Anolis sagrei: one gene and its partner. The protein of the gene in region 1 binds, or shares a complex with, the protein of each later gene. Links are inferred from orthologs where the notes say so. Each region holds a gene or a part of one and is shown in the gene's direction. Other genes may lie near its edges.

Region 1 (7,748 bases):
TGACAAGCTAATTATTGGTGTTAATAGTCAAGACAGGAGATGGATCACATTGGACTCATCAGTGAAAGTTGTAATTGCTTTGTATCTTTTGGGATGGCAGTATGTTATAGACGCTATTCCAGGGGTCAGGAACCTTCGGCTCTCCAGGTGTGGTGGACTTCAACTCCCACAATTCCTTGAGGCTCGGCATTCACCCCAAAGGCTTACCTTGGCCTCAAGGAATTGTGGGAGTTGAAGTCCACCACACCTGGAGAGCCGAAGGTTCCCCATGCCTGCGCTATTCAAAGCTATTTATTTTCTATCCCGCCATTTAAGGGGAAAGATGTACCTATTGCTGCACCTTCCTGTCTGAAACAGTCAACAAGGTTAGGTTTCGTTGCTCAAATATTCAAACTACTCCTTTGTGAATAAATCAAATTAGTTCCTGTAGTCTTGTAGTAAAACAAACTATGAAAGTTATATAATCTTTTAAATGCCTACCTGCCACAAAAATGGGCAGACTTGTGACTGATTTATGATATTCTGTGCTTTGAGGGAGTGGGATGTCAAGTTTCTCTGCCCTCAGGAAAAGAATTTGTGAAAAGCCTGTGCTCACAACTAGTCCCCATATCCAGTGAGTGAAATGAAGCCAGAAAGCTTTTACTATTATCTTTCTCACACATAAACACACATAAACATACACAAAAAGAACAATGCAGAGGTGCAAGTCCTACTTTCCCACTTCATTAGGAGTGAACTGTCAGCTACTTTTAAAAAAATGCAAAAATAGTATTTTTGGAGGAGTTACATAGTGATCTCAGAATGGATTTTTTTCTTCTTCCAGTGTCAACCAAAGTAGTTTCCAACACTTATATTCCAAAAATATTGCATGTGTTTCTATCATATCCATAACATACAATAACACAATCATCTTGTGTCCTTACACCAGTAGGGATTTTCTTGTTTTTCTTGCTGTGCTTTCAACTCTGAAAGTATAAAACTAAAGACTTAAATGGATCTTGTCTCAGGGTTATGCTAAATTTCCCTGCACATTGAGGATTCCCCTTGTCATCCTTCTTGTACCTTCAAGAAACAAAACACATACTTACAGAATATAAACTCTTAAAGTAAAAGGTAAACAGCTAAGAGTCCTGATGCCATTCATGCCTCCTCACAGCTTTCAACTTGGGCTCCCATCCCACTAAACCAACACATTAAAAAAATGTTATTCAATAGCAAGAATGGGGTAAGAAAACCATGGAAAATGGTATCACTAGAGGGCACGAGTACCATTCTAAGAAAGGAAATTTTTATACGGTACTTACTTGACCTACTTCCATTTACAGCTAAAAAAAGACTCGGAGATGTTTGCAGCGAACAAAGATAAGACATAATGCAAAAGAAAAAAGGATGCAAGGGTTTGAGAGGGATAAAAAGCAAACTAGTTCTTAGCTACCATTTTATTATAATAATTAGCTGTCCCCTGCCACACGTTGCTGTGGCCCAGTCTGGTGATCTGGAAAATAAAGTAATGAGAAAGTGTTGGTTTCTAATATATATAATTTCTTTAGGCTTGTGAGTAAACAGTATTTCTTGTTGTTTCTTTGTCAGTGTTGATGTGGAGAGTGTCTGGTTTGCCTACTCTGTAATATGGAACATATCATAGTCCTTCTTTAAGGGTCTCTTTCAAATCCATGATACTATATCTGTGTGTGTGAGAGAGAATCATATCTATCTATCTATATTTATGACTGGATGGCTCTTTGTCAGGAGGGTTCTGATTACATTTTCTTGCCCTGGTGAAGAGAGTTGGACTGGATGGCCTTAAGTATTTTCCGTTGGCCATGGGGTTCCCGAGTGGGAAGTTTGCCCCATTTCTGTCGTTTGTGGGTTTCAGAATGCTCTTTAATTGTAGTGAACTATAAATCCTAGTAACTACAAACCCCAAATGTCAAGGTCTATTTCCTCCAAACTCCATCTGTGTTCATATTTGGGCATATGGAATTTTTGTGTCAAGTTTGGTCCAGATCCATCATTGTTTGAGTCCACAGTGCTCTCTGGATGTATGTGAACTACAACTCCCAAACTCAAAGTCAATGTCCAGTGTGTTCCATTGGTCATGGAAGTCCTGTATGCCATGTTTGGTTCAATTCCATCATTGGTGGAGTTCAGAATGCTCTTTGATTGTAGGTGAACTATAAATCCCAGCAACTACAACTGCCAAATGTCAAGGTCTATTTCCCTTAAACTCCACCTGTGTTCATATTTGGACATATGGAATATTCGTGCCAAGTTTGGTCCAGATCCATCATTGTTTGAGTCCACAGTGCTCTCTGGATGTGGGTGAACTTCAATTTCCAAACTCAAGGTCAATGTCCACCAAACCCTTCCAGTTTTTTCTGTTGGTCCCTTTGTGCTAAGATTGGCCCAATTCCATCATTGGTGGAGTTCAGAATGCTCTTTGATTGTAGGTAAACTATAAATCCCAGCAACGACAATTCCCAAATGACAAAATCAATTTTTTTGAGTGGAGGACATACATTGGGTTGTTAGGTGTCTTGTGTCCAAATTTGGTGTCAATTCCCCCAGTGGTTTTTGAGTTCTGATGGTACCACAAACGAACATGACATTTTTATTTATATAGATGTTTGTTATATTTGTTATTCTGTATTTTATGATGTGGCATTGAATTATTGCCAATTTTAAACCGCCCTGAGTCCCCCCAGGGGTTGAGAAGGGCGGGGTAAAAATGTTCGACATAAATAAATAAACAAATCCAGTTCAAAGCAGACATTGTGGGTTATCTGCTATAATATATGATATTGGTTGCCTTAGTGGATGATCTGCGCCTGGAGCTCGACAGGGGGAGTGTGTCCCTGTTGGTGCTGCTGGACCTCTCAGCGGCCTTCGATACCGTTGACCACGGTATCCTTCTGGGATGCCTCGCGGGGATGGGTCTTGGAGGTACTGTTTTGCAGTGGCTCCGGTCATTCCTAGAGGGTCGATCTCAGAAGGTGTTGTTGGGGACACCTGTTCAACCCCACAACCATTGTCTTGTGGGGTTCCTCAGGGCTCAATATTGTCTCCCATGTTGTTTAACATCTACATGAAGCCGCTGGGGGAGATCATCCGGAGTTTCGGGGTACGATGTCATCTGTACGCGGATGATGTCCAACTCTGTCACTCCTTTCCACCTGCTACTAAGGAGGCTGTCCAGGTCCTGAACCGGTGCTTGGCCGCTGTGACGGTCTGGATGAGGGCGAACAAATTGAAATTGAATCCAGACAAGACAGAGGTACTCCTGGTCAGTCGCAAGGCCGAACAGGGCATAGGGTTACAGCCTGTGTTGGATGGGGCCGCACTCCCCCTGAAGGCGCAGGTTCTCAGCTTGGGTGTGACCCTGGACTCATCGCTGAGCCTGGAACCCCAGGTTTCGGCGGTGACCAGGGGAGCATTTGCACAGCTAAAGCTTGTGCGCCAGCTGCGCCCGTACCTTGGGAAGTCTGACTTGGCCATGGTAGTCCACGCTCTGGTTACATCCCGTTTAGACTACTGCAACGCTCTCTACGTGGGGTTGCCTTTGAAGACTGCTCGGAAGCTCCAACTAGTCCAACGCTCAGCAGCCATGATTTTAACAGGAGTGGAGCGCAGGGAGCATACAACCCCCCTGTTGCCCCAACTCCACTGGCTACCGATCTGCTACCGGGCTGAATTCAAAGTGCTGGCGTTGGCCTTTAAAGCCCTAAACGGTTCCAGCCCAAGCTACCTATCCGACCGCATCTCTGCCTATGAACCCACCAGGACTTTGAGATCTTCCAGGGAGACCCTGCTCTCGATCCCGCCTGCTTCTCAAGCTCGGCTGGCGGGGACAAGAGATAGGGCCTTCTCGGTGGTGGCTCCTCGGCTGTGGAACGCCCTTCCTACGGACATTAGACTAGCACCATCTCTAATGGTATTCCGCAAAAAAAGTGAAGACCTGGCTGTTTGAGCAGGCGTTCCAATAATTAGTGCAATGATTGGTTAATGAACACTGGAATGGAACAATGGATGACGAATCTGGAACATGTTTTTGATGACGAGACGACAGTGAATGGGTATTGTAGTAACTGTTTATTAATTGTGTAATGTGTTAGGTTGTTAACTGTTTCTATACTATAGCACTGAATTTTTGCTGTTCGTATTTGTTGTGAACCGCTGTGAGTCGCCTTCGGGCTGAGAACAGCGGTATATAAGTAAGGTAAATAAATAAATAAACAATATTCTGGGTTATATGGTTGTGTGGAAGGGCCCTTCACTCCCCTCTGATGATTCCTGAGGCCCACAAGCGTCTCTCTTGTTTTCCTTCATGCAAAAGCGCGTCACCAGCAAAAAAACGTTTTGGAGCGTTCAAAGGGCGCTCACTTCCTGGTGTAAACTGGGGACAGCATTGAAGAGATAAACAGCCCCCCTGCTCCCGCCTTCCTTTGCCCGGCGTTGGCGCGAGGCGGGCGTTGTTCCCACAGCTGGAGCCCTTCCCACGCGGCGTTCTAAGGCCAGCTCCCAGGAAACGCGTGTTGACCGCTGGGGGGCGCCCCGCGAGCGCGTGAGATGGGGCCGAGGTGGGAGGCGCGTGGAAGGAGAGGGCTGGCTTTGCCTCCGCTTCGCCCCGCAGCAGAGCGCTTCCTGGTCTCGTGGTCAGCCGCAGGTGGAAGGCACAGGGTCCCCGAGCCCCCTCCCCACAGCAGGCAGGCAGGTAGGTAGCAAGCAAGCGGGAGGGTTGTGAGCTGGAGCTGGAGCGGCCGGAGGAGGAGGGGAGGGAGCGGAAGGAGGAAAGTTGGCCAAGCCAGAAGCATTTCTTCCTGGGGCCCCGCCCTCAGTTGAGGGAATCGGGTGAGAGGCGGGGGGAGGGGCTTTGGTTTCCTGATCCCATTGGGGACCCCAGCAGGGAACATGGCAAGATGAAAAATAGTCTGATTGGAATTCCCCCCCCCCCCCCCCCCCAGGACCCAAGTGTACAGGGCAAATTGTATGGGAGAAGGCGATCCTGCAGGTCATCTGGATCCAAACCATGTAGACCAGGGGTCCTCAAACACTTCAAACAGATAGGAGCATAGTGTCTAGATCTAAGGAAGTAATGCTACCCCTCTATTCTGCTTTGGTTAGACCACATCTGGAATATTGTGTCCAATTCTGGGCACCACAATTCAAGAGAGATATTGACAAGCTGGAATGTGTCCAGAGGAGGGCGACTAAAATGATCAAGGGTCTGGAGAACAAGCCCTATGAGGAGCGGCTTAGGGAACTGGGCATGTTTAGCCTGAAGAAGAGAAGGCTGAGAGGAGATATGATAGCCATGTATAAATATGTGAGAGGAAGCCACAGGGAGGAGGGAGCAAGCTTGTTTTCTGCTTCCTTGGAGACTAGGACGCAGAACAATGGCTTCAAACTACAAGAGAGGAGATTCCATCTGAACATTAGGAAGAACTTCCTGACTGTGAGAGCCGTTCAGCAGTGGAACTTTCTGCCCCGGAGTGTGGTGGAGGCTCCTTCTTTGGAAGCTTTTAAGCAGAGGCTGGATGGCCATTTGTCAGGGGTGATTTGAATGCAATATTCCTGCTTCTTGGCAGGGGGTTGGACTGGATGGCCCATGAGGTCTCTTCCAACTCTTTGATTCTATGAGTGCCAGGTCACAGTCCCTCAAACTGTTGGAGGGCCGGATTATAATTAGAAAAAAACTTGAATGAATTCCTATGCACACTGCACATATCTTATTTGTAGTGCAAAAAAACACTTTAAAACAATACAATAATTAAAATGAAGAACAATTTTAACAAATATTAGTGGTCCCCTGCCACGCGTTGCTGTGGCCCAGTCTGGTGATCTGGAAAATAAAGTAATGAGAAAGTGTTGGTTTCCAATATATGTAATGTCTTTCTGCTTGTGGGTAAACAGTATTTCTTGCTGTTTCTTTGCCAGTGTTGATGTCTGGTTTGCCTACTCTGGAACATACAACATATCATTGTCCTTCTTTAGGGATCCCTTTCAAATTTTTGATACTGCATCTGTCATATACACATATGTGTGTGTGTGGATGGCCCTTTGTCAGGAGGGCTATGTTTATGTTTTCTTGCCTTGGTGAAGGGAGTTGGATTGGATGGCCTTCAGGCAGCATTTTTCAACCTGGGGTTTGGGACCCTTTGGGGGTTGCGAGGAGGTGTCAGAAGGGTTGCCGAAGACCACCAGAAAACACAGTATTTTCTGTTGGTCATGAGGGTTCTGTGTGGGAAGTTTGCCCCAATTCTGTCATTGGTGGGCTTCAGAATGCTCCTTGATTGTAGGTGAACTATAAATCCCAGTAACTACAACTCCCAAATGTCAAGGTCTGTTTTCCCCAAACTCCATCTGTGTTTATGTTTGGGCATATTGAGTATTCGTGCCAAGTATGGTCCAGATCCATCATTGTTTGAGTCCACAGTGCTCTCTAGATGTTCAATTCCATCGTTGTTTGGTTCAATTTCATCATTGGTGGAGTCCAGAATGCTCTTTGATTATAGGTAAACTATAAATCCCAGCAACTATAACTCCCAAATGACAAAATCATAATTTTTGAGTGATGGTCACTCCTATTGTGAGACGTTTTGTGGCCAAATTTGGTGTGATTTCATTCATTGGTTTTTTTGTTTTTTGTTTTTAGGGTACTGATTATGCACAGAGCATTTATATATATATACTAGCTTGGGGACCCGGCATTGCCCAGGTTATTAGAGAAAGTGGGTAATAGTGGTTCTGTATGCCAAGTTTGGTCTTTATTGGTCTTTGGATAACGGCTGCATTATTTTCAGGAAGTGAGTGAAGGTACTTGAAGTCCCATCATCCATGGCCCATCCTCCTACAAACAGCAGCAGGATATAGAGTGGGTCATGGGGGCTCTGTGTGCCAAGTTTGGTCTTTATCAGTCATTAGATGAGGGTGGCATTGGTGTCATTAAGTGAGTGAAGGTACTTGAAGTCCCATCATCCAAAGTCCATCCTCTTTCAAACTGCAGCAGGATGTAGAGTGGATCATGGGGGCTCTGTGTGCCAAGTTTGGTCTTGATTGGTCATTAGAAGAGTGTTGCAGCAATCTTCGGAAGGGAGTGGAGGTACTTGAAGTCCCATCATCCATGGTCTGTCCTCCTCCAAACTGCACCAGGATGTAGAGTCGGTCATTGGAGTTCCATGTGCCAAGTTTAGTCTTGATTAGTCATTGGCTAGGGTCTCAGTGGTCTCAGGAAGTGAGCAAAGGTACTTCAAGTCCCATCATCCATCTCCAAATTTTTCCAAACAACACCAGGACGTAAAGTGGGTCATGAGAGGTCTATGTGCCAAGTTTGGTCTTGATCTGTCATTGGATGAGGTTTGCAGAGGTCTCAGAATGTGAGTGAAGGTACTGGAAGTTCCATCATCCATGGTCAACCCTCCTCCAAAACTGCAGCAGGATGTAGAGTGGGTCATGGGGGCTCTGTGTGCCAACTTTGGTCTTGATTGGTCATTAGATGAGATTGCAGCAGTCTTGGGGAGTGGAGGTACTTGAAGTCCCATCATCCATGATCTGTCCTCCTCCAAAGTGCACCAGGATGTAGAGTGGGTCACTGGAGCTCCATGTGCCAAGTTTAGTCTTGATTGGTCATTGGCGAGGGTCTCAGTGGTCTCAGGAAGTGAGTGAAGTGACTGCAAGTCCCATCATCCATTGTCAAATTCTTCCAAACCGCACCAGGATGTAGAGTGGGTCATGCTGGGTCTCTGTGTAAA
Region 2 (7,632 bases), on another chromosome or scaffold:
AGAAGAAACCACATGTTGTTCAGATCACTGCTATCGTGTGAATATCCATACAGGGAATATGTGTGCAGAATAAGATCCAGGGAAGATAATCATCTATATCAAGGTATAGTATTAAGTAAATGGTCAGTGAGAATAGTGTTATATTCATGTAAAATCCCATTAGTATCGACATGTTGAGTTGTGATGGCATAAGTCAGGCTAGCACCACCATCAAAGCTAACTTTTTGTTGTGGATGTTAGAATTCACTACTCACAGCCTCCCCCCTCCAAATCCTCTCAGAAGTGTTTGTGAACTTCTCTGGGTCCTCCAATGCAATTCTGTGATATGCTTCTGCCTCAAATATAGTCAAACTATAGGCTTCAGTGTTATCAGCAGGGTATCCCCAGTGGGCATGGAGGGTCTCAAAATGTATCTCCTTGTTCACACTATACAATTATAGTCCTATGATTCCACTGGGGGCCAAACAGTAATGAACTGGCTGCATGGATACTTGATATTTAATTTTTCTGTCTTGCTCCACTTGAGCAATGAATATTTTGGAGAGAAACTTTAAGGCTAATATATATCTTATGGCATAAGGTACAATAGAAATGTGAGTTGTACATTACAATCTACATTATTGTAAGATCTCAGGCAAATGTGCACACATCAAAATTGGTTAGGGTGAGCAGAGCTTGGTAAAGTTATTATTTTGTAAATTTTGGTAACAACTAGTGATCATGCTAGGAGCCCCCAGTGGCGCAGCACGTTAAACCGCTGGATTGCTGAACTTGCTGACCAAAAGGTCAGTAGTCCGAATCCGAGGAGTGGGATGAGCTCCCGCTGTTAGCCCCAGCTTCTGCCAACCTGGCAATTTGAAAACATGCAAATGTGAGTAGATGAATAGGTACTGCTCTTGCAGGAAGGTAACGGCATGCAGTCATGCCAGCCACATGACCTAGGAGGAGTCTATGGACAACACTGGCTCTTCAGCTTAGAAACAGAGCACCACCCTCCAGAGTTGGACACGACTAGACTTAATGTCAAGGGAAAATGATTACCTTTACCTTTAGTGGTCATGCTGGCTGGATATAACAATTCAGGAACAATGATATTCTTTACTCATTTCCCAACAGAAATCAGAACTTCTTCCCATTTTGTCTATATGCTCCTTTTGTGTTTGTAACTGAACAACTGTCAGATAGTTGCATATAATGCTGTAGTTAATATACGGGTTTATTTAACATACACCCATTGCAAAACCATACTGACAAGCATTTTGTCTGCCTCAATAAATATCATGAGCCACCAGCTGGAAGCCTACCAGATGGAATATACTCCTACCCACAGAATTTTTAAAATTATATTGGTATTTCTGTTATCTTTAGTTCTCACCTTGTTGTAAACCTAATATATCCTCTATTATAACCCAAGCTTGCAAATTACTTCACACATATGATGAAATAGGATGCTAGCTGGGAAAGCTTGTAAGAAATCTGTTCTTCACCAGGCTGCATTGCAACATTTGCAATTGTCCTGCTAGAGAATGAGAACTAATTTGATCAAAGCAACTCCTGCCAGCCCATGCTAAGTGCCATTACTAGAGGTATAATTTTATCAAACTTTATTTCTTGTAGTACTTTCATTATAAATGTTTTAATGACACATAAGCCCCCAAGGTGCGATGGAAAAGAAGTGGTAATGTCATGTTATTATGCATCTGTTGCTGTACTACCTACCATATGAGGAAAGCTACTTTGAAGGACTGGATCAGCCCAAAGCCAATACTGGAGTACAGGCCACTCTACATTGATCCCAAGGGTTCGTTCACATGATACAATTAGAGTGCTATGATTCCACTTTAACTGGTATGATTCTATTTTATAAAATCCTGGACTGGCAATTTTTGTTGTTAACTGCCGTTAAACCATAGGATGGAACCATTGCAGTTCCAATGGAAGGAAGAGGAGGAGAAAACTATACAGTGTGAATAGACCTCAGCTCAAATAACTGTACTTTTATTTCAGCCTGCTTCTAGTCTCTCTTTTGGAAATAATCTGCCATGACCATAGGGAGAGGTGTTGGATAGAATACCAAAAGAGGCCATATTTCTGTTTGTGGTGAATGAGTCAGAGAGACAACTCTCCAAGGCATCTGCCACAATCCAGTCATCACAAGTAAAAGGCATTGTTTATTTAAAAAAGCAGGGAGAATGTCCCTTGTCCTTTCCAGCTTAAACATGGTTGGTATGTGATCAAAAATCCTTTCCTGTTTGACCTGTTTCATGTGGTTGTTGTGAAAATAAATTGGGAAGGAGGAGAAGCTTGCATGCCACCATGAGATCTCTGGAAAAAAGAAAGGATATGCAACAAATGAATGCATAACTATTATATTAAGTTGCCAACTCTGAGGATAAAACTAAGGCAGGGTGGAAATCATGCATTTCTCAAATATTGTTGAACTTCAGTTTTCTAACCCTTGGCTATGCTGGCTATGGGTATTTGCAATTCAACAGCATCTGGAGGGTTGCATGAATCACAGCCCTGGAGAATGATCGTCTACATACTGTCATTATAGATCATAGAGGTTGTCGTCTGGAGTATGGTGACTCTTGCAGGGAATGAAAAAATAATCAAAACTCTAAATACAGTTTTGTTTGATTCTGAACTGAGCTGCAAACTGTCCTTGTCAACAACAATGGACTAAACGAAGCTTAATCCAGACCAGATAGAAAGGTCAGTCAAAAGGTAGATCAGGAATCTGGGATTTAGTCTGTACTAGATGGGATTACACTTCCCTTGAAGATGCAAGTTTATTATACTCCTAGACTCAGCCCTAAATCTAGATTCTCAGTGGTTTTAATGGCCAGGTGTGCATTTGCACAGTTATAACACTGCCAACTGCACATGTTTCGATGGACATCTGATTTGGCCTTAACGGCATATGCCATTATATTACCATAATGTGTTTTGAAGGGTGTTAAAAACTTTCAACTGATCCAACTGTCAACCAGATTGTTCAACAGGGTTGTTTATAGGGAGCACACAACTCCCTTATTACAACTATAAAGCCATAAATGGTTCGAACCCAGACTACTTGAGGGACCACATCTATTATTATTATTATTATTATTATTATTATTATTATTATTATTAAACTTTATTTGTACCCTGCTAGCATCTCCCAAAGGACTCGATACGGCTTACAAAGGCCAAGGCCTCAACACAATAACAACAAACAATAACAATGCAGCAAATTAAAAACATAAGCAATAACACAACAAAACATTACACTATTACACAATAAAATCAGGGCCGGGCCAATGATGGGTACAGGTTAAAAAGTGCTGGGTGTGTGAGGTGGTATGTTGGAGTTCTGGGCAAGTGCAATGTGCAGAGAGTATTAAACTCTAATAAAGTGCTTCTGGGACAGAGTGCTGGAGATTATCCTATTCTGGGAAGGCACATCGGAATAACCAAGTCTTCAAGTTCTTCCTAAAGACTGCCAACGTGGGTGCTAGTCTAATGTCTTTGGGGAGGGTGTTCCAAAGTCGGGGGGCAACCACAGAGAAGGCCCTGTCCCTCGTCCCCACCAAACGCGCCTGCGACGCAGGTGGGATCGCGAGCAGGGCCTCTCCGGATGAACGAAGGGAGCACGTGGGTTCGTAGACAGAGATGCGGTCACGCAGGTAGGCAGGTCCCAAACCGTTTAAGGCTTTGTAGGTAAGCACCTGCACCTTGAATTGGGCTTGGTAGGTAAATGGCAGCCAGTGGAGCTCCTTAAACAGGAGGGTTGACTTCTCTCTGTAAAGAGCTCCAGTTAACATCCTGGCCGCCTCCTCCTGCATGCCCACACAAACCCTGAGACTAACAGGAGAGGCCGTCACAAGTGCGGCTGGCAAGTGTGGCTGGTGGGAACAAGAGAGGGGGACTTTTTGTTGGTGGCCCTGAGGCTCTGGAACTCCCTTTCCAGAGAGGTGTGATCGGCCCCCTCCTTGGTGGCCTTTCACACTCAAGTTAAAACCTTTTTATGGAACCAGGCCTTCCCTGGAGATCAACAATAGCCAATGGCCAGATAATAATAATAAAATTATTTTTATTTTTATCACGGTAGCACAGTGGGTTAAACCCTTGTGCCAGCAGGACACTCACTGACAGCTCGCAGGTTCAAATCCAGAGAGAGCGCAGATGAGCTCCCTCTGTCAGCTCCAGCTCCCCATGTCCCCACACGGGAGAAGCCTCCCACAAGGATGGTAAAACATCAAAAACATCTGGGCATCCCCTGGGTGACGTCCCTGCAGACAGCCAATTCTCTAACACTAGTAGCGATTTGCAGTTTCTCAAGTCGCTCCTGACACGAAAAATAAAAAAAATATTTGTACCCTGCCACCATCTCCCTGAAGGGACTCGAGGCGGCTAACAAAGCACTCCAAAGTGTTAGGAATTTGTGGGAGTTGAAGTCCAAAACACCTGGAGGGCCGAAGTTGGCCCATGCCTGGGTTAAAGGGAAAGCCTCCCAGAAGGCGACTTTCCTCGTGGGGGGAAATGAAAGCGGGAAAAGCAGGCCAACACGGGCTTCCCCTTCGAGGCCAAGGGGGAAAAATGCTCCTATCAGTTCCCTCCAGCAGCTGGAAAGCTTTTTCACACAGAGGTCTCCTCCTCCTCCTCCTCCCCGTCGTTGTCGAAGCGAGTGAATGGAGGGAGGGAAGCGAGTCTGACTGAGGGGGAGAGAAGGAAGCCAGGCAGGCGGGCGACGCCATGTCCTCCCCCAAGAAAGGCTTCCACCGCCAGGAGATCACCAAGACGGTGTGGGAGGTCAGGGAGCGCTACCGGGAGCTGCAGGCGGTGGGCTCCGGAGCCTATGGCGCCGTTTGGTGAGTCCGAGAAAGAGGAAGGGAATGAGGGAGGGAGGGGGGAAGAGGAGGCCACGCCTGAACCTCCCTCACTGGGTCTCTTTGGGGCTCTGTCCCTGGGAAAGGGGGAAGAATTGGAGCATTGGGGCATCTACACTGCAGAATTAACGCGGTTTCACGCCCCTTTCGGGTGAGCCACTCTCTCTCAGCCTCAGCACTGGCTTCCAAGGCGCAACTCCACTACCAACTGGGCGTTCTCACTTTTCAAATCGCCTCAGGCGCAAATGTGTCCCATCACAACAATAAACAACACGAATGCTGGTTTTGTAGGGGTTGGAGATCCTGAATTGACCTCAAATATGCTTCTTCAGAATGTTGAACCAAAAAAAAGGGGGGGGGGGGGAATGCTGGTTTTGTAGGAATTTAGCCTTTTAATGACCCCTTAAAACGAGTGTTTCTCAACCTTCCTAATGCCTGGACATGTTGGAGTTGGAGGTACTGGGATTTATAGTTCACCTGCCATCAAAGAGCACTCCGAACCCCACCAAAAAGGGAATTGGACCAAACTTGGCACACAGAGCCATCACGACCAATAGAAAATACTGAATTTAAATTTTAAACTATTACCTTTGGCCCGGCCATAGGTTTTGTAAATCTTTGTGTGTTACTGTTTATTGGTTATTGTTTATATGTGATTTATATTAATTGTATTGTATTTATTGTTTTTGTTTATTGCTTTTGTTTATTGATGTACTGTTGGGCTTGGCCTCATGTAAGCCGCTCCAAGTCCCTTGGGGAGATGGTGGCAGGTTATAAATAAAGTATTATTATTATTGGGTTGAGGATGCTTGCCATAGATGCAGGCGAAACGTCAGGAGAAAATGCCTCTAGACCATGGCCATATAGCCCGAAAAAACCTACAACAACCCAGTGATTCCGGCCATGAAAGCCTTCGATAATACATTATTATTATTATTATTATTATTATTATTAAGGTCGTTGGGGAAAATTCACCTTGATTTGGGTGAGTTGTAGTTCACCTACATCCAGAGAGCACTGTGAACCCAAATACTGATGGATCTGGACCACACTTGGCACACATACCTGATATGTTGAAATTTGTTTACTGGAGGGGTTTGGGGTGAAACTGACCTTTTCTGGGAGTTGTAGTTCACTCACAACCAGAGAAACCGTGTCCTCCACCGATGATGGACCTGAACTAAACTTGGCATCCAGAAGCCCCATGACTCATTCAACCTACTGGAGGGGTTTGACCCACCATAGTGCATAAATATCTGCTAAGCAGGATGCATTTTCATTCACTGAACCCAATTTGGCACAAATTCCCGATACGCCCCAATGAATGAAAATACATCCTGATTATCAGATATTTGCATTATGATTCATAATAGTTCAAAAATTGCAGTTATGAAGTAGCAATGAAAATATATTATGGTTGGGGGTCACCACAACATGAGGAACTGTATTAAGGGGTTGCAGCATTAGGAAGGTTGAGAACCACTGCACTATGGTGAGTCAATCCCTTCAAACCCCTCCAGTAGGGTGAGTTAGTCATGGGGCTTCTAGATGCCAAGTTTAGTTCAGATCCATCATTAGTGGAAGTGGAGCCCCCGGTGGCGCAGTGGGTTAAACTCTTGTGCTGGCAGGACTGAAGACCGACAGGTCGCAGGTTCAAATCTGGGGAGAGTGTGGATGAGCTCCCTCTATCAGCTCCAGTTCCTCATGCGGGGACATGAGAAACGCCTCCCACAAGGATGGTAAAAACATCAAAACATCCTGGCATCCCCTGGACAACGTCCTTGCAGATGGCCAATTCTCTCACACCAGAAGCGACTTGCAGTTTCTCCAGTTGCTCCTGACACAACCAAAAATTGTGGAAGTCACCGATTGTGAGTGAACTACAACTCCCAGAAAGGAAGGTCAGTTCCCCCACCCCCGATAATCAAATTTCAACATATCAGGTATGTGTGCCAAGTGTGGTCCAGATCCATCGGTGTTTGGGTTCATAGTGCTCTTTGGATGTAGGTGAACTACAACTCCTCCAAATCAAGGTGAATTTTCCCCCTACAACCTCCAGTATTTTTTGTTGGTCATGATGGTTCTGTGTGCCAAGTTTGGTCCAATTCACTTTTTGGTGGAGTTCAGAGTGCTCTTTGATGGCAGGTGAACTATAAATCCCAGTACCTATAACTCCAAAATGTCTAGGCCAATTTCCCTCCAAACCTACCAGTTTTCAATTTGGGCATGTCATGTATTCATGCCAAGTTTGGTCCAGATCCATCATTATTTGGGTTCATTCAAAAATTTGGGGAATCAAATTTTTGAAAGAACTGTGCATGGTGCAGTGTTTTTTCTGTGTTTGTGTGTGTTTTGAATTCAGCTTCCCAAAATACTCTTAAGGAAAGATACATTTTGGAAAACTGTTTTCATTGCAGGCCTGTGTTATAACTCTCATTTTAAAAACATACTAGTATAAACTTTTAGTGCATCAAAATAATGTAAATCTGCAGTTATATATGTGTTGAAGAGCTTGTTTCATGCATGTAAACGTTGCACTGGACAACAGGCCATGTGCAAGGAATTAAATATTTGGGGCGATACAAGGAAATGCTTCATCTCATCCCAGCACACCCACTTCCCTGAAAATTTCTTGCCTTGAGCCCATCTGGAAGTGACTCACTATTTTGCTTTGTTGACTGTATTTCAGAGAACTTCCTGCTGGGGAGAAAAAGTAGGAAGCAATGTTCCTTGTGGGAAATGAGTTCCCAATGTTTTATTA

Evidence for each region. Proteins that work in one complex are often made in the same cells at the same time.
Region 2: the proteins of PTPN3 (region 1) and MAPK12 are in contact, whole or in part, in a crystal structure (PDB 4QUM), measured with the Homo sapiens proteins. The link is inferred for Anolis sagrei from reciprocal best matches to the Homo sapiens genes PTPN3 and MAPK12. Residues at the interface, in NP_002820.3 of Homo sapiens: Arg655, Leu671, Asn674, Arg675, Tyr676, Lys677, Asp678, Val679, Arg751, His812, Ser843, Ala844, Gly845, Ile846, Gly847, Arg848, Met883, Gln886, Thr887; in NP_002960.2 of Homo sapiens: Met182, Thr183, Gly184, Tyr185, Val186, Val187, Arg189.

Annotation. Positions count from the first base shown.
Region 1 is NC_090026.1:59,187,514-59,195,261, reverse strand, and holds the start of PTPN3 (tyrosine-protein phosphatase non-receptor type 3), read left to right. Parts: upstream 1-4,561; 5' UTR 4,562-4,566; coding exon 4,567-4,711; intron 4,712-7,748.
Region 2 is NC_090025.1:124,756,342-124,763,973, reverse strand, and holds the start of MAPK12 (mitogen-activated protein kinase 12), read left to right. Parts: upstream 1-4,521; 5' UTR 4,522-4,737; coding exon 4,738-4,853; intron 4,854-7,632. UniProt on the Homo sapiens protein: Serine/threonine kinase which acts as an essential component of the MAP kinase signal transduction pathway.